3 linked regions of the Ovis aries genome follow. The protein of the gene in region 2 purifies or fractionates together with the protein of the main gene of each other region. This does not show direct contact. Links are inferred from orthologs where the notes say so. Each region holds a gene or a part of one and is shown on either strand. Other genes may lie near its edges.

Region 1 (6,353 bases), on a different chromosome or scaffold from region 2:
GTGTAACTGGGTGGGCTTCCCCTCTCTGCACCTGTTTTCTCATCTATTAAAGAGTTAATAAGAGCACTTCCCTGGTGGTCCAGTGGTTAAGAATCTGCCTGCCAATTCAGGGAACACGGGTTCGATCTCTGGTCCAGGAAGATTCCACATGCCTCGGGGCAGCTAAGCCTGTGTGCCACAACTGCTGAGCCCATGTGCCTACAGCCTGTGCTCCACAACAAGAGAAGCCAGCACAGTGCGGAGCCCACGCAGGACAGCTAGAGAGCAGCCCCTGCTCGCTGCAGTTAGAGAAAGCAACGAAGAAGCAACTAGAGGCAACTAGGGAAAGCAACGAGAAAGCAACGAAGACCCAGTGCAACAAAAATAATACATAAGTAAACTTTTAAAAAAAGAGTTAATAAGAGTTCCTTGGAAGAAAAGCTATGACAGCATTTTAAAACCTAGACAGCAGACATCATTTTGCCGACAAAGGTCCATATAGTCAAAGCTATTGTTTTTCTAGTAGTCATGTATGGATGTGAGAGTTGGACCATAAGGCTGAGTGCCAAATAATCGATGTTTTCTAACTGAGGTGCTAGAGAAGACTCTTGAGAGTCCATTGGACAGCAAGGAGATTGAATCAGTCAGTCCTAAAGGAAATCAACCCTGAATACTCATTGGAAGTACTGATGCTGAAGCTGAAGCTCCCAACACTTTGAGCACTTGATGCAAAGAGCCGACTCATTGGAAAAGACCCTGATGCTGGGAAAGATTGAAGGCAGGAGGAGAAGGGGGCGGCAGAGGATGGGATGGTTGGATGGCATCACCGATTCCATGGATATGAGTTTGAGCAAACTCTGGAAGATAGTGAAGGACAGGGAAGCCTGGCGTGCTGCAGTCCTTGGAGTCGCAAAGAGTCGGATATGACTGAGTGGCTGAACAACAACTTCCTGTAGAGGTTGGGAGTATTGAATGGGTCCCATCAAAGATGATAGCCGTGCCAGCTGTCTCTGTGTTAGCATCACAGGCAGCGTCCCCCTGTGTGTCGGAGCAGGAGAGGAGGCACGAAAGAAAGTCTAAAGGCTTCATACGGGCTCTGGTCTCTGACAGCCCCCAGCACACTCCGACTGTGTCAGCTGTGGCTGCCTGCTTATAGCAGCCGCATCCGCATGGTCCCCACCGGCCCGATTATCTGTGGAGCCGAGACTTTCACGGATGGTCTCCTTATCACAGCTTAGTCACTTCTGTCTGGAGCAGATGGCCTCAATTCTTGTTCCAGTTCCCTTAGTGGGCAGAAGACTGGAAAGGCCGGAGGGGAACATCACCCCTGCTTTGATCCCAAACCCTTCGGCAGCTTGGGTTTTTCCAACATCGCCACCAGTTCCTCCCAAAGGACTTCCTCTGCACTCTTGACCCTGACCAGCTCCTTACTGGGGCAAGGAACCAATGGAGGCTAGAAGTGACAAGGCCAGGGTTTCTGTGACAGCCAGCACTGAGGCTCCTTCAGTTGGGTGGGATGTTAAATCTCTCCAGTCTCTTCTGCCGCTTCTGTTTCTGCGGCTCCACTCCCCTTTCCCCCCACGGAGCTTTACAGCTTCTTTGGAGGGGATCATATAAGCCCATAGTCCCCTCAAACCTCACGTTTTGGGCAAATAGTCATTGGATGGTTGACCCGAGGGCTCACTCTCTTGGACTCAAGAGCTGCCAGGGAAACTCTGTCTCCCTACTGATGGTTCTCAGCCCTGGCTGTACATAGAACCACCTGCAAGGCTTTAAGGCCAACGCCTGTCCCCACCCCAGAGATTGTGGATCTGGACGCTGGGAGTTTGTGAGACTCCTGGGTGATTCTCAGGAGCCGACCATGGTGACAGCCAGCAGGTTAGAGAGACCTGGGGACATTCCTAGGGGATAACTCTCGTCCAGAACCTGGGATGCAAAAGACAGAAGCAAAATAGGATGTTGACGCCTCATCTGGCCTTGAAGCCAGGGCTTGGCCTTGAGTTCAGGCCAGGGGGACACAGGTGCTCAAACCATAGCATCAGGACCTAGGTTCCTCCCTCTCTCAGCTCTGCCCTCACCTGCATCCTCAGCTGGGCTTTCCTCAGGGCACAGTCGGGGGCACCAGGGGCATCAGCGCCTCCAGGCCGCCTGCTCCCTACAGGGTCTCCTTCCAGCAGTCTAAAACTGACCCCTCAGAGGGCTGGGATCACAACACCTCCCTGACACCATTGTCTCCAACCTGCCAGACTCAGGCCAGATCCAGAGTGCTTCCCCAGGGGAAATCGAGGTGCAGGCTCTCTGTCAGAGGGAAGGAAAGGGAGTGGGTGTGGGAGGGGCAGAACAAAGTCCACCCCAGAGGCTCTGCCCCTGCCCCAGAGGGATGAGATGTTCAGGCCAGGCATGTCAAGTGCTTAGAGCCGAGCGAGCAGCCCCCCTACCGCTGCCCCCAGCAACATGTGAGACCCAGGAGACGGGCATGGGCGTGCAGTGAAAGAGCCCAGGGTCCCTGGATGCAGACAGAACCTGTCCACGCCCATCCTCTGCTCTTCTGACCGCTGACGCCTGCTGCCCTTCCTCTCCCTTCCCCCAGCACCCACCCCTGGCGCCGCTGCCTTGCTCTGTAACCAGAGCAGAATCAGCCAGACTGCAGCCTTGGGCGGCTGCCATCCTCCCCACCGCCATCCCAGCCGCCCCCAGTCAGAGCCAAGGGCGGGGAGGGGAGCAGGAAGCCTTGGCAGCAGCCAACCCCAGAAGGAAACAGGGTCAGGTGGTTTCTCGAAATCGAAACTAGACTGAGCTTTCTGAAGCACTTCCTGGGACCAACCTGACACACTCTGTACTGGGAGGGTTTTTTTGGGCTGGACGTTCCTTTGCAAGTGGGAGGCCTTAGGACAGCCATCTGCAGGTGCCCCAGGCAGGTAAGCTGGTAACCTCTTGCTCTCAGGTGGGTGTCCCTCTCTTTATACAGTATAATCTTACAGTGGCCAAGTCTCCCTGCCTGTGCTCAGTTAGGGATCTGATGCTCCTCCTGAAACTAGGGACCATCACTGCTGCTCCTGTGTCTCTCTGTCCATTTGGGCAGGTTGTTCACTGGTGCACAAGGAGACCACCCAAAGGGGCAAGCAGTTCAGCCGAGGCGCTCTCTCCGATCAGTGCTTTTCAGCTCAGGCTGTTGCTGCTGCTGCTGCTGATAAGCAGCTTCAGTCGTGTCCAACTCTGTGCGACCCCACAGACGGCAGCCCACCAGGCTCCCCTGTCCCTGGGATTCTCCAGGCAAGAACACTGGAGTGGGTTACCATTTCCTTCTCCAATGCATGAAAGTGAAAAGTGAAAGTGAAGTCACTCAGTCATGTCTGACTCCTAGCGACCCCATGGACTGCAGCCTATCAGGCTCCTCCATCCATGGGATTTTCCAGGCAAGAGTACTGGAGTGGGTTGCCATTTCAGCTCAGGCTGCACCTTTCCCCAATTTGCGCAAGAGTGTGGAATGGCCCCAGGCAGACAATTCTGCCCCATCTCTCCAATGAGTCAGGCAAAAATGGGTGGCCAGAGCCAGCCGGAGGGGCAGTGACATTTGCATACCATGAGCCAAGTGCCTGATTGGCCATCTGCCTGGGACCCTGGGTTCGTGTCTCAGGGTGAGCAAAGCTGGTGGCCGCCACTCTCTGGAGAGTGCAGAGGGTGACCAGCTGTCCCCATGTGCCTAGGACCAAGGGTATGTCCAAGGACATGGGACTTCCAGTGCGAAAACCAGGACAGTTGGTGTGCTGGGTGGTTGGTCATCCTGGCCACTCGGCCATCAGTGTAATGAAGAGAGGGTGGCTGCTGGGCAGATTCCCCCATGGCCACTCACCACCCACAGCTCCCCAGCTGTGTGAGCAGAGCTGGCTACCCTTCCGGGCTTTAGCCCCCTCACTTGAAGGTGGGATCAACAAGGTCTTTCTCAAGGTCGTGGTCAGGATTCCATGAGCCAGTGGTGTGAGCAGTCTGGTCCAGGGACTGTGTTCAGTGTCGGCAGACCCTCGTGCCTGGGAGCCCCCGGAGGGTCTGGTTACCAGGCCCTGACTCGAGGGGTGCAACAACAGCAGCCACAGCCCTGCTGGCTGGGCCCTGAGGCGGGGCGTGGGTGTCGCAAGGCCCTCTCTGGGCCAGAGCAGCAGGGCTCTCTGCACCCCCTCCATGCCCCTCTTCCCACCTCACTGTGCTGGTATGCGGACATGAAGGGAGGGAGGCAGGTGAGGGGCAGGATGTGGGCGAAGAGAAAAAGGGAGCTGTGAGAGTTACAGAGGCAAGACCCCCGGCAAAAGCGGAGAGACTTGGGTCCCCCCTGCTCCCCTTCCCCGGGGCTGGCTGTGTGGCCTTGGTGGTCCCCCACCTCCTCCAGCCTCTGTTTCTTGGGGACACTGACCTCGTGGCAGTGCCAGGCCAGGAGTGTCCTCTCATCTCGTTCCCCTCCCCCAGTCTCCCCCCAGCCCCACCCAGCTGCCCAGGCAGAGGCCTGGCTCTTAGCCCTCAGCCCTCTCCCCGGCCCGCCCAGCGCCCACCCCCAGCCCAGTCTCTCCACTGCTCTCCGTCCATTGTCACCCCTTCGCGGGTTTCTGTGGCCTCCTCCTGACACGTCTCCCCACCCTACCCACCCTCGTCCCCCTCCCTCCCAACCCTACCCACCCTCGTCCCCCTCCCTCCCAGCCCTACCCACCCTCGTCCCCCTCCCTCCCAGCCCTACCCACCCTCGTCCCCCTCCCTCCCAGCCCTACCCACCCTCGTCCCCCTCCCTCCCAGCCCTACCCACCCTCGTCCCCCTCCCTCCCAACCCTACCCACCCTCGTCCCCCTCCCTCCCCACCCTGCCCACCCTCGTCCCCCTCCCTCCCCACCCTGCCCACCCTCGTCCCCCTCCCTCCCCACCCTGCCCACCCTCGTCCCCCTCCCTTCCAACCCTACCCACCCTCGTCCCCTCCCTCCCAGCCCTACCCACCCTCGTCCCCCTCCCTCCCAGCCCTACCCACCCTCGTCCCCCTCCCTTCCAGCCCTACCCACCGTCGTCCCCTCCCTTCCAACCCTACCCACCCTCGTCCCCTCCCTCCCCACCCTACCCACCCTCGTCCCCTCCCTCCCCACCCTACCCACCCTCGTCCCCCTCCCTTCCAGCCCTACCCACCCTCGTCCCCCTCCCTCCCAGCCCTACCCACCCTCGTCCCCCTCCCTCCCAACCCTACCCACCCTCGTCCCCCTCCCTTCCAGGTTCCACATGGTCCATTTCACGCAATGTTCTTTGGCAGCTGCAGACCTCAGGGTACTCTCGCAGGCTGGCCTGCCATCTGAGCCATCCCTGCCATCTCTCAGCCACCCTCAGCAGGCTCCCCCAGGCCCCCCCAATCTCGGCCCTGCACCCTCTGCCTCCTCCCTCCCCGCCCTTCCCACCCATGCCCCCTGACAGTCATGCCCAGGGCCTAGCTTTCTGATATGGGCACCTTTCCACCCCACCCCCACCCCACCTCGCCCCACTGTCCTCACTGCCCAGAGACACTCCCTTCATCTGGGAAAGTCTTCCTCATCCTTGGAGGACCACCTTCAGACGAGGTGAGGGCCCCCGCTGGGACACCCAGAGCACCCTCCACAAGGAGGGCCCAAGGCCTGTCCAGCTCCACCCTCTCACTCTACTGCCTCCTTTCGCTGCAGGACAAGGGACTCCCAGGCAAGGCCATGGCCCCTCTACGGCTCGTCTGGATGTGGCTGCTGGTCGCGGGGACTCAAGGTGAGCTGAGCCCCTGGAATCCTGAGAGCAGCGGTCTGTGACCTTGCTCTACAAGGTCGGCCCCTTCCCCTTGCAGAAAGTCAAGGCGGTGTTCTGCCTGGTGCCTGGGTTACAGGGGCCAGCCCGGGTCTTCGCTCCTGCGTGAAGCCCTGGCTGCCCCCACTCATGGCTTGGAGATTTGGAGAGGAGGCCAGGGGGCTCCATTCTCATCCAGCCGGAACCAGAGGGACCAGGCAGGAGGGGCTCACAGAATGGCTGAGCCCCGAGGGGCCTGGGGTCAGTGCCCTTTGGACAGTCAGCTTCCAGAGTCCTGAACACCTGTCCTCACGCTCTTCACACTCAGAGGCCCTTCCTCTTCCCAGTGACCCCATGGAAGGGCTGTTACACCCCATCTGAGAAGTGCCCTTTGACCTGGCACCCGGCTCCTGCCTGACACTGTTGGCTCCAGCAGGGGCTGAGGTGGGGCTGGGTGGGGAGGTCAGCAGGCTGAGTCCCAGAAGAACGAGTGTGGAGCTGGGACCCTGCGTTCTCTCCTGGTCCGGCATACTCTTCCTGTGTTTCCAGGGCGCTCTAGACCTTTGCCCCCAGGCCTTCCCAAACATCTCTCCCAGCACTCC
Region 2 (5,609 bases):
CGGCCAGCGCGGCAGCCAGCAGCACCGCCAGCTTCGGCACCCCTGCCACAGCCTCCAAGATCTCCATGCAGGAGCTGGAGGAGCTGAGGAAGCAGCTGGGGAGCGTGGCCACGGGCCCCACGTGGCAGCAGGTGAGCAGGTGGCCACGGTGTTGGCCTGTGGAGACTGGCCCGGGGGCACCGGCCCTGGGATGGGGTCCTGGGCCCCGGGCGAGAGGGTCTGGCCTGCCCTGGGGGCGGGGGCGTCTGCTGCCCCTGCACTGCTGGCTCGGCCAGCACGGGCCCGGCTCTGCCTCCCTCGGGGGTGTGGGCAGCTGGTGGGCGGTGGTGCTCTGTCTCCCTTTCTTACTGCTCCTCCAACCCTGCCCTGGCCCCAGGCGGCTCTCCGGGTGTCTCCCCCCATCTTGTTTCTGGGCCGTCGAGCCCCTCAGAACCACACCCTGAGGTCTGAGCTGCAGGCCCGTGCCGGTTGGGCACGTTCTGTGTCTGGCGCCTTGTGGCTCCTCACAGCTCTGCCCGCCCCAGTACCCTCCCCCCCAGTGCTCTGGGTGCGCGGCGCCCTTGGGGACCACTGCCCCCTGCCTGTGCCGGCGGGGCCGTGTCTCCCTGCTTCAGCCCAGGGGGCTCGGGTGCGGGCACCCCTTCTCTGGCCCAGCTCTCAGTGGGCACTGTGCCCAGCTGGCAGCTCAGGCCTGCATCGAGGGCCAGGGCGAGCCGTGAGGGTGCGCTGAGGGCTCTGGGCGCCTGCGTGCCGGGGGCTCCTGCTCCACCTGGGCCCCGCCCCGTCACCATGATGGGCGTTGACGTGCGGTTCGCTTCCACGTGTGTGTGTTCCTCACACATGCTTAGGGATGTGTCTTTTCATACAGTAAGTGTGTTAACTTTAAGTGTTTGTGCTAAAGGTGTGTGTTTTCTTTCTGTCTTTAAAAACCTCCCCCCCCCCAGTCTCTGGAACTCACGAGAAAGTTGCTTCGAGACAAGCAGAACAAAAAAAACTCAGGGCAGCGCCTCCCAGTCTTCCCGGCGTGGGTGTACGAGAGGCCTACGCTGCTCGGGGACTTCCTGACCGGCTCAGGCGCGAGCGCAGACGTGGCTGTGCCCATCGGTAGGTGACGCACAGCTTTGGACAGTGGGGCCTCACGGGGACAGGGAAGCTGATCTCCTTGGAGGTGGTGGGTGGATGGCGGCGTGCCGCCCCCAAGCCCTCTGCTGCCCTCGGCCATGTGGCAACACGCGGTACCCGCTGGCCTCCGCACCCTGCCCCCCACCGGTGGGTGGTGATGTGCCCCGGCTCTCAGGAGCGTGCGTGTCTTGGGGCTTGGGCAGACTTGGGGGCAGCGGGATCCCCAGGGTCGTCGTCCTCGACAGTGAGTCACGTCCCTGCAGGTTCTGCCATCAGGATGATGGCCTCGGCCACGAGCACCAAGGGGCGCTGGGGCGTGCGGGTGTCTGTGCCCCTCCCCCACGTCTCATGACCCCCTGGGGGCAGAGAGCTGTGTCTTGCCCTCCTGCTCACAGTGTACAGGGGAGACGGGGGCGGAGGCACGGCCATGTTTACAGGCACTAGAGGAGCCTGCCCTGCAGCGGTCTCGTGTGGTGGGGCTCATGGAGCCTGGTCCCCGGGGCCACACCCAAGGGCGGGAAGCAGGGGCGGGGGGGGGGGGGGGGCTCTGATGATGAGCCTGGGGCCCTGCCTCCTGGAGCCCTGCCTCCTGGGGCCCTGCCTCCTGGAGCCCTGCGTCCTGGAGCCCTGCCTCCTGGGGCAGCTGCACGTTCAACATGATCCAGAGAGGTTCCGTGGGAAAACCCCTGAGGGAAGCTGTTCCCCGAGGTCATGCACTATGTGAGTGTTGATTTGCATGTTTGGATCAGTTAGAAGACGCAGTAGTTTCCAGGCCCACGTGAGGCACTGCTTGGAGCCTTCTTGGGAGGCTTTGCCGGGTTGAGGGGAGGTGCAGCCCCGCGAAGCGGAGGCAGCCGGGCGCTGGTTCTTAGGGCGGCCGGGCTCACGGGGTTCGATGTGGCAGGTTTCCTTTGTAGCGGGATTGCTGTGCTGCCCGCTGGTAAGGGTGCGCTGTGCCTGAGGGTGGCCCCTGAGGCCACCTCGTGTGATGCTATTTCAGGGAGGACTTGGCCAGGACAGGTGGCCTGCCCGTTTCCCTCCAACAGCCACACTGCGTGGGCTCTGGTGGCGAGATCGGCGTCTGTCCCACCGGCCCGGTGTCACCTTTCTGGCCTCCGTCATGCCCTGGCCTGGCACCACAGGCCCCAGTGCCATCCATGCCAAGATGCCTGTGAGCATCACAGTCATCCTCGGTCCTCCCTGCTGTCCCCCGGACGTAGCCTCTCCTGGGGGGCCCTGCCTCCTTGCGTGGCGTGCAGCAGCCCTGCTGGGCATCCCTCGCCAGCTACGTGGTGCCCCCCACAGTCATTTTGCCGCCCAAGTCCCTTCCTACAGCAGAGGCGTGCCCCCCGCCTGTGACCAGGCCGTCCCTCCTCACGCCAGCCTCCAGCTCCGTCTGCTTGTCTGGGCCATCCAGCCCACGGCTGGGCAGCGTAGACTCGCGTCTCCACAATTCCTGGCCTGTTCCCGAGGCCGCGGGCACAGGCGTCTTGTGGCTTCTAACCGTGTGTGTGGTTCCCGCTGGGTCCCCGAGCCTCGGGCTCAGGTCCTACAGACACGGCCAGTTTCCTGGAGTCTGAGCAGCACGTGGCTCTGTCCCTCGCCCCTCCACAGCCCCCACCCCAGCCTTGAGGCCTCAGGCAGAGCTCCCAGCTCTCAAGTTTCCCCTTTCTGGGGGACCCCATCTGTGAGGAGGGATCTGCTGTGCCCCATGAGGCCCAGTGTGCTGTCTGACGCCCCTCCCGATCGCCACGTCCGTGACGGGCTCCAGCTTCCCTGGTGTCTCCTCCTGGCCACGTGGTGACCGTGGCGCCCGCCTTTGACCCTCCCACAGCAAAGCCTGGTCCCGGCCTTCTTCTGAGCGACCCAGCCTCACCAGGTTGTGAGTGTTGTGAGGCCAAGACGCTCACGTCCCTTTGAAGATGAAGCGGTTATTTGTGTGTGGAGGGTTTCCCTTGCTTTAAGGCTCTGATCGTCAGCTCCAGACTCGCCGTGTGGTCCCTGCCTGTCGGGTGGTCAGTGCCTCTGCTGGTGGAGGTTGTGGAGTCTCAGCCGTTGGTTCCCTGATGGGATCAGTTAAGCCAGGCAGTCACCTTGGTTTTCACATCTGCGGTGCTGGAGGAAGTTACATGGAGGGAGGGGGTGGGGGAGAGAGGCCAGTGGAGTGGGGCTCTGGAGGCGAGGCCCGCTGGTGTCTGCACCCACAGGCACGCTGCCTCTGGCCTCCCAGGAGGCGGCCGTCGTGGAGGACCTGCTGTACGTGCTGGTGGGTGTGGACGGCAGGTACATCACGGCCCAGCCCCTCACCGGGAGGCAGAGCCGAACCTTCCTCGTGGACCCCAATCTGGACCTGTCCATCCGAGAGCTGGTGAGCAGGATCCTGCCCGTGGCTGCCAGCTACTCCACAGTGACCAGGTAGGCACCCGGCTTGCCACAGTGACTGGAGCGCGTGCACGGAGCCCTCCTGCAGAGAGGCCGGCCTCCATGCAGGGCCCGCAGACCCGGAGGAGCGCGGGAGGTGGCACCCACAGGCCCTCGGGCCATCCCTCCCGAGACGCAGCCCCTGCTGCTCGTGCTCAGGGCCGCCTTCCTCTCAGGTTCATCGAGGAAAAGTCCTCCTTCGAGTATGGACAGGTGAACCACGCTCTGGCCGCCGCCATGAGAACGCTGCTGAAGGAGTACCTGATCCTGGTCACACAGCTGGAGCAGCTGCAGAGGCAGGGCCTGCTGTCTCTGCAGAAGCTCTGGTTCTACATTCAGCCAGCCATGCGCACTGTGGACATCCTGGCCTCCCTAGGTGTGAGGGCCTGGTGGGAGGGACCCTCTGGGTCAAGGTGCTTGTCTTCGATTTTTTCAAACGGTCCGAGGCTGTGTAGCTTTACGTTTTATGAATTTGCGAGAGACTGACTCTGGGAGTTCCCAGAAACCCTAGCTTCATAGTTTGAATTTATCCCAGAAAGAGGACCTCTCCCCTGAGAAGGTGGGAGATGAGCTGAGGGCTCTCGCTCAGCGTGGCCAGGGGCCCTCTCGGCACTGAACGCCGCCCTCTCCCCGGCAGCCACCTCGGTGGATAAAGGCGAGTGTGTCGGGGGAGCGACCCTGAGCCTCCTGCACGACCGGAGCTTCAGCTACACGGGGGACAGCCAGGCGCAGGAGCTGTGTCTGTACCTCACCACGGCCGCCAGCGTGCCCTACTTCGAGATCCTGGAGAAGTGGATTTACAGGGGCATCATCGACGACCCGTATAGGTGGGGCGGGGGGCCGCGGGGGGGGGGGGCCGCGGGGGCGGGGGGGTGGAGAGCGGCCCTGCGGCCCCCCGCCCCCTGCACGCCTGGGACCGCGCGCCCTGCCTTGCAGCGAGTTCATGGTGGAGGAACACGAGCTGCGCAAGGAGAAGATCCAGGAGGATTACAACGACAAGTACTGGGAGCAGCGCTACACCGTGGTGCAGAGACACATCCCGTCCTTCCTGCAGAAGATGGCGGGCAAGGTGCTGAGCACGGGTGAGTGCCGGCCCCGCACGCCCCCGCGCGCCTGCGTCTCCACACAGCAGCCAGCGCCCCTGCCACTGCGCTCCCCGGGCGCCACTGCGCTCCCCGGTCCCCGGGCGCCTGGGTCTCCACACAGCAGCCAGCGCCCCCGCCACTGCTCCCCCGGGCGCCTGCGTCTCCACACAGCAGCCAGCGCCCAGCGCCCCTGTGGATACCAGCTAGGGGACCACCCCACTGAACTTGGATCTGACACTTAACCGCCGGGGCAGTGTGGGCCCAGGGATCAGGCCTCCCTCGAGGCCTGCCCCGGCAGACGCCCGTCATGAGCATCGGGTCCCCAGGCCGCTGCGTGTCTGTCAGTGTGGCCCCCAGTCAGGGTCCTGGGGCCTCCCCAGGCTTGATATTTGCTGTGACGACCCCCAGACTTGGGGAAACTTTACTTAGCAGATACGCTGGCCTGCTATAAAGGATGTTGTAATGGATACAGACAAACAGCCCGAGGAGGTCTGCAGGGCAGGTCTGGAGGGTCCCACACTCGGGAGTGTGTCTGTCCCCGAGGAGCTGGGGGCCACCAGGCCCCTCCCTCCTAGCAGGTGGACGTGCTCATCAGCCCAGAAGCTCTCCAAGCCTGTCCCGTAGCGGGATCACGTTGGTTCCAGGACAGGGCACGACTGGTCCTCTCGTGGGCCGTTGGTCCCTAACTTGACCACCAGCCCCTCTCCTCCCCAGGTATCGGGAAGGGCCGAGGGTCTCGCTGTCCTGCCATGTGGTTGGTCCCTCTGGCCGCTGGCCTGCCTCCTGAAGGTCTGCAGGGACGGCCAGGAGTCCCCTTGAGGGTGTGAACTCAGGTGGGGTGAGAGGGTTCCAGGTGCTCAGTGATGGACCAGGAGCAAGGCCAGACGCACGTGCCGCGTTTCTCCCAGCATCACAGGCCAGCAGCGGAAAAGCAGGGAAGGGCACAGGCCCTGCTGGACCGGTGGTGCTTCTAGGCATCAC
Region 3 (6,255 bases), on a different chromosome or scaffold from region 2:
TGTAGCTAGCATCAAAAGCCACACAGTTTGCAGTTTTCTAGATAATTTGCTAAATCAGAAGATCAAACTTCAAAAGAACTTCTCCATTGTAGTCAATTACAGTAAAAAGAAGCTAAAGAGAGGAAGCCTTCCCTAATATGTTAAAGAGACTATTTCCCTCCATATCAGCCTTCTGTTATAGCACATTACATACTCTCTTGAGGTTGCCAGTTTAGCCTTGTCTATCTCATTAGAGTACAGGTTGACTTGTTTTCAAACAATCTGCAAGCTAAGAATGGGTGACAAAAATCCAAAATAATATTAGCATCTCACATGTGAAGATTATAAATGAAATTCAAATTTCAGTGTCCATAAATAAAGCTCTACTGCAACACAGCCACATTTACTGTTAATATACTACCAATGGCTGCTTCTATAATACAAGGCAGAGGTGAGTAACTGTAACAGCAACCAGATAATTTGCAAAGCCTAAAATATTTACTATCTGGCCCTTAACAGAAAAAGTTTGCTGACCCCTGGTACAGAGTACAAGCTCTCTGAGAATTAGTGTTTTATGACTCTGACTTGTTCGAGATGTAACCTCTGCAGGAAAGAACTGTACCTGACACATACCATTCAAATAAAATGTGCTGAATACCTGAAAATAATTAGACGAAATAGTTTCTTCTCTATTATGGTATTAGTACTTAGACCATCAACATAGTAACTAGTGGCACCCACAGCTGTGAGAAACATGCTAACTAAAAAAAAGCAAGTTGAAAGCTAAGCCTGGGTGGCAAAAATCCAAAAGAATATTAGTATAGCTAGTATATATAATATTAGTATAATTAGCTAAGTCATTTTTAGTCCAGTCACTATATTATAAAAACCAATAACCATTAGAATTAAAAAGTGCACTCCAGTTTACCGCTTGTAAAGAAAGACTGACATTTAAAGTTATTCGGAAAAAGTAGTCGAGACTAACTTACCGGTAATTTTGTCGATTTAAAAACAGGACTGGAGACAGTTTGTTCATGGAGATTAGAATAATCACCAGGACTTTCAAAAGGATTTAAAATAGGAATCCTTCCTGGAGTTTCAGGTGTTATTTGCATTTTTGATTCTTTGACATCTCCCATAGCACAGAGGAAAAACTAAAAAGAAGTCATAAGTATATATAATAAAAGTACAAAGTTCCACAGACATTCATTTTGACAACTAAAGTGTATTCAACAAAGGTTGTTGTTGTTTAGCATCCAGGTGGAGTCCAACTTTTTGCGACCCCATGGAGTATAGCCCACCAGGCTCCTCTGTTCATGGGATTTCCCAGGCAAGAATGCTGGAGTGGGTTGCCATTTCCTTCTCCAGGGGATCTCCCCCATCTAGGGATCGAATGCACGACGCTTGCCATTGGCAAGCGGATTCTTTACTGCTGAACCACCAGGGAAGCCCCATTACCAAACATACATTTCACAAAAAGAATTAACTCAAAACTTAAGCTCCTGGGGCTTTTTTGTAGTTTACACAAGTGTGATGCTCTAAATAATCTTGAAAGCTAGAAGGGTAGGTAAAGTATTAGTGACAGAATTTTGCAGGAGAATTAACAAGCTCAGAGAAGTCAACTGGTTTGTAAGTAGCACTCAACCGAATGTGAATGAGGTGAGTTCCCCCTTCGGGACAACTAAACGTTCTAATAGGCACAAAACCTTTTCCTGCTAAAGAACAGTGGACCTACAGCTTTTTATTATCTCAAGTCTGTAAACAAACACTTTGTACGTAATTCCAACAGCCCAGCAATTACCCAGCAAACTGCAGTTACTAAACAGTTATTTATAGCATCACCAACTCAATGGACATGAGTTTGAGCAAACTCCAGGAGATGATGAAAGACAGGGAAGCCTGGCGTGCTGCAGTCCACGGGGGTCCCAAAGGGTCGGAAAAGCCTGAGCGACAGAACAACAGTAGCAAATAAGAGACGAGGAAAACTCTGGTCCCTTTGTACATAGGTGCCTGTCTTGCACTTTAGCCCCCATCAGAAAAGAAATGACTGATTAGGGCTACGAAATTAACCGCTTTGGGTTGCCTCGTCTCAAACACCCTTAGCCTTTGGCTAAGACCCCCACCCTCCCACGATGGAAGCGAGACTACATTATTTCCCGTTAAGGTGAGGGGCAGTACAACTAGAGAAAAGAACCCACTCCATGGAAGGCTGATGTGTAGCTAGCTTCCTCGGATGACAGGCAAAGGAGAACACTGACGCCAGTGTCATTCCCATCCCTACTCGATCACTCTTCTCTGGGGCCCCCTCTTCCACACCCACTCCCCGGTAGCTCTCATTCATTCCCAGGCGAGCGTGCAGCTGATTCAGAGCCGGGCAAAGGGAGTTCTCCAACTCGAGACAGGAGGAAAGGCCAGGAATCACAAAGAACATACCTAGTTGTGTATATAAAAAGGAAGCCCCCCCAAAGCGACTCCAGGGCGCTCCCGACGGTGCCGGGTAAGCTCCCACGACAGGCACAGACTCTTTAACTCCCCGCTTCCGCGCTGTCTCAGGCCAACCAGCGCACGGGCCTTGTGCGCGACTGGCCAATGACGTCGTACCGCTGTCCGCGAACCAGCCAATCGCAGCGAGGCCGCGTAGTAAATTCGAATGGCAACTCCTCGCTTCGCGTTCTGCCCAGAGTATCGCGGCTCCAAATTCAAATCAACGCAGCCTCACGCTGGCGAACAGCGCGAGAGGCGGGGCCTGCCGGCGTGAGCCCGGAACGCGCGGTGTGATTGCCCAGGAGAAAGGAAGGTGCTCCAGTTCCGGGTCAGGCCCTTCGCCCGCCTCCCTCGGCCTCCGCCATGGCTAGCAGCAGTGGCGCCGGGTCGGCGGCAGCGGCAGCGAATCTGAATGCGGTGAGGGAGACCATGGACAGTGAGTGCCCGTTTCGCCCCCTTTACCTTGCCTCTGTTCCCCAGAGCCAAGGCCCTGGGGCGGGGCTGGGCCCACGAGGACTTCAGGTCCACTTCCTGCCCCGCTCGGCATCTTTGGAGATGCTTCTAAGGGACCCTCCAGAGCTGATGGCCCCATCCTTTGAGAGTCGTCTCTCCGTTCCTGCGTAGTTTGTCGCGCGCACGGCGTTGCGGTCTCACGTCAGCCCGGCGCGCGCCTGGTCCCTCCCGCAACGGACCCTGCGCGCCGCCTGTTTCCCGCCTCGAGGGCTTTCTCCCGAGTGCTCATTTCGCGCCCTCTCCCGCGCCCAGTCCCCGCGACCTTCCTCGCGCGAGCTCATGCCACGCCTGGTCCCCGCGCCGGTTCCCCCGCATCCCTTCTCCTGCGCCGGCCTCGCGCGCCTTGCCCACCCCGCGCGCCGCATCCAGTGAGGGGAGCGCCTCCGAAGCGCCCCAGACTGTGAGCTCCTTGCAGACAGTGGCTTCCTGTGTTTGATCACCGCTCCATCCCTCCTTGTACCTTGCGCTGCAGCGGGAGCATGTTAAATACCTACCCCTTGAAGAAACAAGTTGTGCTTTAATCAGAGTTGCCCCCGTTTAGTCCTGGAGCCGGTGATGCCGGTGTCCGGAGACCGTGGGCGTATTTACCTGTTTTGCAGCAGGGAGCACGCAGGTAAAAACTGCCCGCAAGTAATAGAGGAAAAAAGTGTCTTGGAGTTACCCTGTCTTTCCTTTCTTTCTATTGCCGGCTCTGCCACTTTATAGCCCTGGTGTAGGCTTGGACAAGTCGTTTAAACATCTTTGAGCCTGCTTTTTTTTTTTTTACCCCAGTGAAACAAGACTGCTACCTCGTGCTGTGTGAGTGCTAAGTCGCTTCAGTTATGTCCGACTCTTTGCGACCCAATGGACTGTAGCCGGCCAGGCTCATCTGTCCATGGGATTCTTCGCTCAAGAATACTGGAGTGGCTTGGGTTGCCAGGCCCTCTTTCAGGGGATCTTTTCAACGAGGGATCGAACCCAGGTCTCCTGCATTGCAGGCAGATTGTTTACCGTCTGAGCCACCAGGGAAGCCCCCTACTACCTCCTAGGATTATTGTAAACATTTAAATAAGATAACCTGATAAAGGTATCTCGAAGGTGACCATTAACAGGTAGTTCTTGCACTGTTTTTGTGTATAAACATCATTCCGCGACCCCTTTTGTTGTCCCCATTTTATTTGCCTGCATCTGTATATGTGTGTTTGATAGATGTTAAGTTTTGCTTTTTTGCGTTTTCCAAGGGATACCCACATGAACTGCTGTCTCTTTCAAACCGTGAAATTCTCATTAAGCAGTGTCAGCCTTCATGTCCTATCTCTGGCTCTTTCACTATAGGCTCCACTTCCTATTAGAGCTCCTTCTTTATGAGGACTTGTGATAAAGCTTATGATTTTCTTTGCACTCGCTGCTGCTTCGCTTTTCAAAGAATTTTTTTTTATTAAGAGTCTTTGCTTCTAATATTTTACTCAGTGTCTGCTTTTGTCTTTTTCTGAAAAATGGAATTTTGTTAATACCATATTCAGCCTATTTTCCCATCCTTCTTGAAATAGCAGAACTTATTAGTTTTATTTTGTAAGTGGATTTGTGTACATAGAGACTAGTGTACACCATTATTGTCTTACATCTTTGCTTGGAAGCCAATGTGGTTTCTGAACAGTGTGAAGTGTATTTGAGGCCTGACTTCTAGTCAGTTTTCTTATATTAACTGTTCCTTATTATATGGGCACAGGATTCCATTTGAATAGAAAGCCCACATTTTCTCTCTGATGAAACTACTGATACAGAAATGAGAACTGATTGTTTTTAATTGGCTGCATCATCAAGGTTTTCACAGACAGAACTGCAGATTATAGTGTTAGAATATGAAAAAGTGAAGAAAGACCAGATTATTTTTTCTCAACCAACACTGGCGGAGAGAGTGTGCAAAGTAGAGAACACTGCTCCTCTATACACAGTGTGTCCCCAAATCAGAAGGTAAAAAGGAAAGCCCCAGGTTGGCAGTGTATCAACATGTGTTAAATGTGGCAGTTAGGTCCTGTCATGTCCATTGGAACTAGCTGCTATCATGCCATGCATGCATGATCAATCACTCAGGCATGTCCGACTCTTTGCCATTCCACGAACTGTAGCCTTCTAGACTTGTCTCTCCGTGGGATTTCCCAGGCAAGAATAATGAAGTGGGTTGCCATTTCCTCCAAGGGATCTTCCCAACCCAGGGATCAAACTGACATCTCCTGAATCATAATTGAGTCCAAAACAGTCAGTCAAAATGTGTAGTTTTGCAAAGTTAATGAAATATTTTCCAGGCTGTCTCTAATGATTGAGGCACAAAGGGAAACATAGGGACACTTTCACTGTTAAGAATTGACCACACACTCAACTGAAAAAGTCCTCAATGCAGTCCTTTAATAATCCCACCTTTCTCCACTCGCATTGCCAGAAATAGAACTTTAACTTGCCCAAGGAACTGGGCTGACCTACATAAGCCAATGCAGGAGACATGGGTTTGATCCCTGGGTCAGGAAGATCCCTGGAGAAGGAAATGGCAACCCACTCCAGTATTCTTGCCTGGGAAATCCCATGGACAGAGGAGTCTGGCGGGCTACAGTCAATGGGGTTGCAAAAGAGTAAGACATGACTTAGCCTTAGCGACAGTAACAACAAATTATGTTTTTGGCAATGGTGATTAAAATTTCCTTCTTCCCTACTTGAGGCTTCAGTGTGATACAGTTGTTCCTCAGTATTTGCCGGGAAATTGGGTTCAAGGCACCCTCACCCACCCACCCATACCACAATCTGTGGGTGCTCAAGTCTGTCATATAAAATGGCTAAGTGTTTGCATATAACCCACATTCATCCTCTTGTATAGGGGCTTCTCAGGTGACTGAGTGGTAAAGAATCTGCCTGCCAAGAATTTTTTTTCCCAAATATTTTCAATACACAGTTGACTTGTATCAAGTTGTAAACTAGCAAAAGAAGTAAAGAGAGTCCACAGTGTGCAAGGCAGTGTTGGTGAAGCAAACATATAGCCCATGCTCCCACCATCAATCCCCTTGCTTTCTCATGTGAGGTCTCCCCTACCTCTATCCTTCACTAAGCTTCTTCAGTTCTTCACTCATCTCAGACTTGACCTTTTGTATTAATCTCTCCTGTCCATGCCACCTACCAGTCTCTGCATAATTGCAATAACTTATCTGGACTCCTTCTCCCCAGGTCTTACACTGGGAAGAACTTGGTAAATGAGACTGAAAGGCTCATGTAAAGACAGTGTAATTATGGTTGTGAAATGTGAGATGAGCC

The links.
Region 1: the proteins of TUBGCP2 (region 2) and LGALS3BP purify together in Homo sapiens (affinity purification with mass spectrometry; 3 studies listed by BioGRID and IntAct, counting the BioPlex papers as one, with this or other methods). This does not show direct contact. The link is inferred for Ovis aries from reciprocal best matches to the Homo sapiens genes TUBGCP2 and LGALS3BP.
Region 3: the proteins of TUBGCP2 (region 2) and MZT1 purify together in Homo sapiens (affinity purification with mass spectrometry; 4 studies listed by BioGRID and IntAct, counting the BioPlex papers as one, with this or other methods). This does not show direct contact. The link is inferred for Ovis aries from reciprocal best matches to the Homo sapiens genes TUBGCP2 and MZT1.

What each region holds. Positions count from the first base shown.
Region 1 is NC_056064.1:52,753,270-52,759,622, forward strand, and holds the start of LGALS3BP (galectin-3-binding protein), read left to right. Parts: upstream 1-2,762; 5' UTR 2,763-2,923; intron 2,924-5,515; exon of another isoform or gene 5,516-5,561; intron 5,562-5,660; 5' UTR 5,661-5,684; coding exon 5,685-5,736; intron 5,737-6,353.
Region 2 is NC_056075.1:51,116,864-51,122,472, reverse strand, and holds part of TUBGCP2 (gamma-tubulin complex component 2), read left to right. Parts: coding exon 1-131; intron 132-944; coding exon 945-1,104; intron 1,105-1,110; exon of another isoform or gene 1,111-1,833; coding exon of another isoform or gene 1,834-1,842; intron 1,843-2,122; coding exon of another isoform or gene 2,123-2,926; exon of another isoform or gene 2,927-3,321; intron 3,322-3,329; coding exon 3,330-3,537; intron 3,538-3,719; coding exon 3,720-3,919; intron 3,920-4,180; coding exon 4,181-4,370; intron 4,371-4,479; coding exon 4,480-4,625; intron 4,626-5,609. Other genes in the region: uncharacterized protein LOC132658436, read left to right, coding at 1,834-1,842, 2,123-2,926. UniProt on the Homo sapiens protein: Component of the gamma-tubulin ring complex (gTuRC) which mediates microtubule nucleation.
Region 3 is NC_056063.1:48,083,264-48,089,518, reverse strand, and holds the start of MZT1 (mitotic-spindle organizing protein 1), read left to right. Parts: upstream 1-2,783; 5' UTR 2,784-2,826; coding exon 2,827-2,899; intron 2,900-2,925; exon of another isoform or gene 2,926-3,090; intron 3,091-6,255. Other genes in the region: BORA (protein aurora borealis), read right to left, coding at 969-1,118. UniProt on the Homo sapiens protein: Required for the recruitment and the assembly of the gamma-tubulin ring complex (gTuRC) at the centrosome.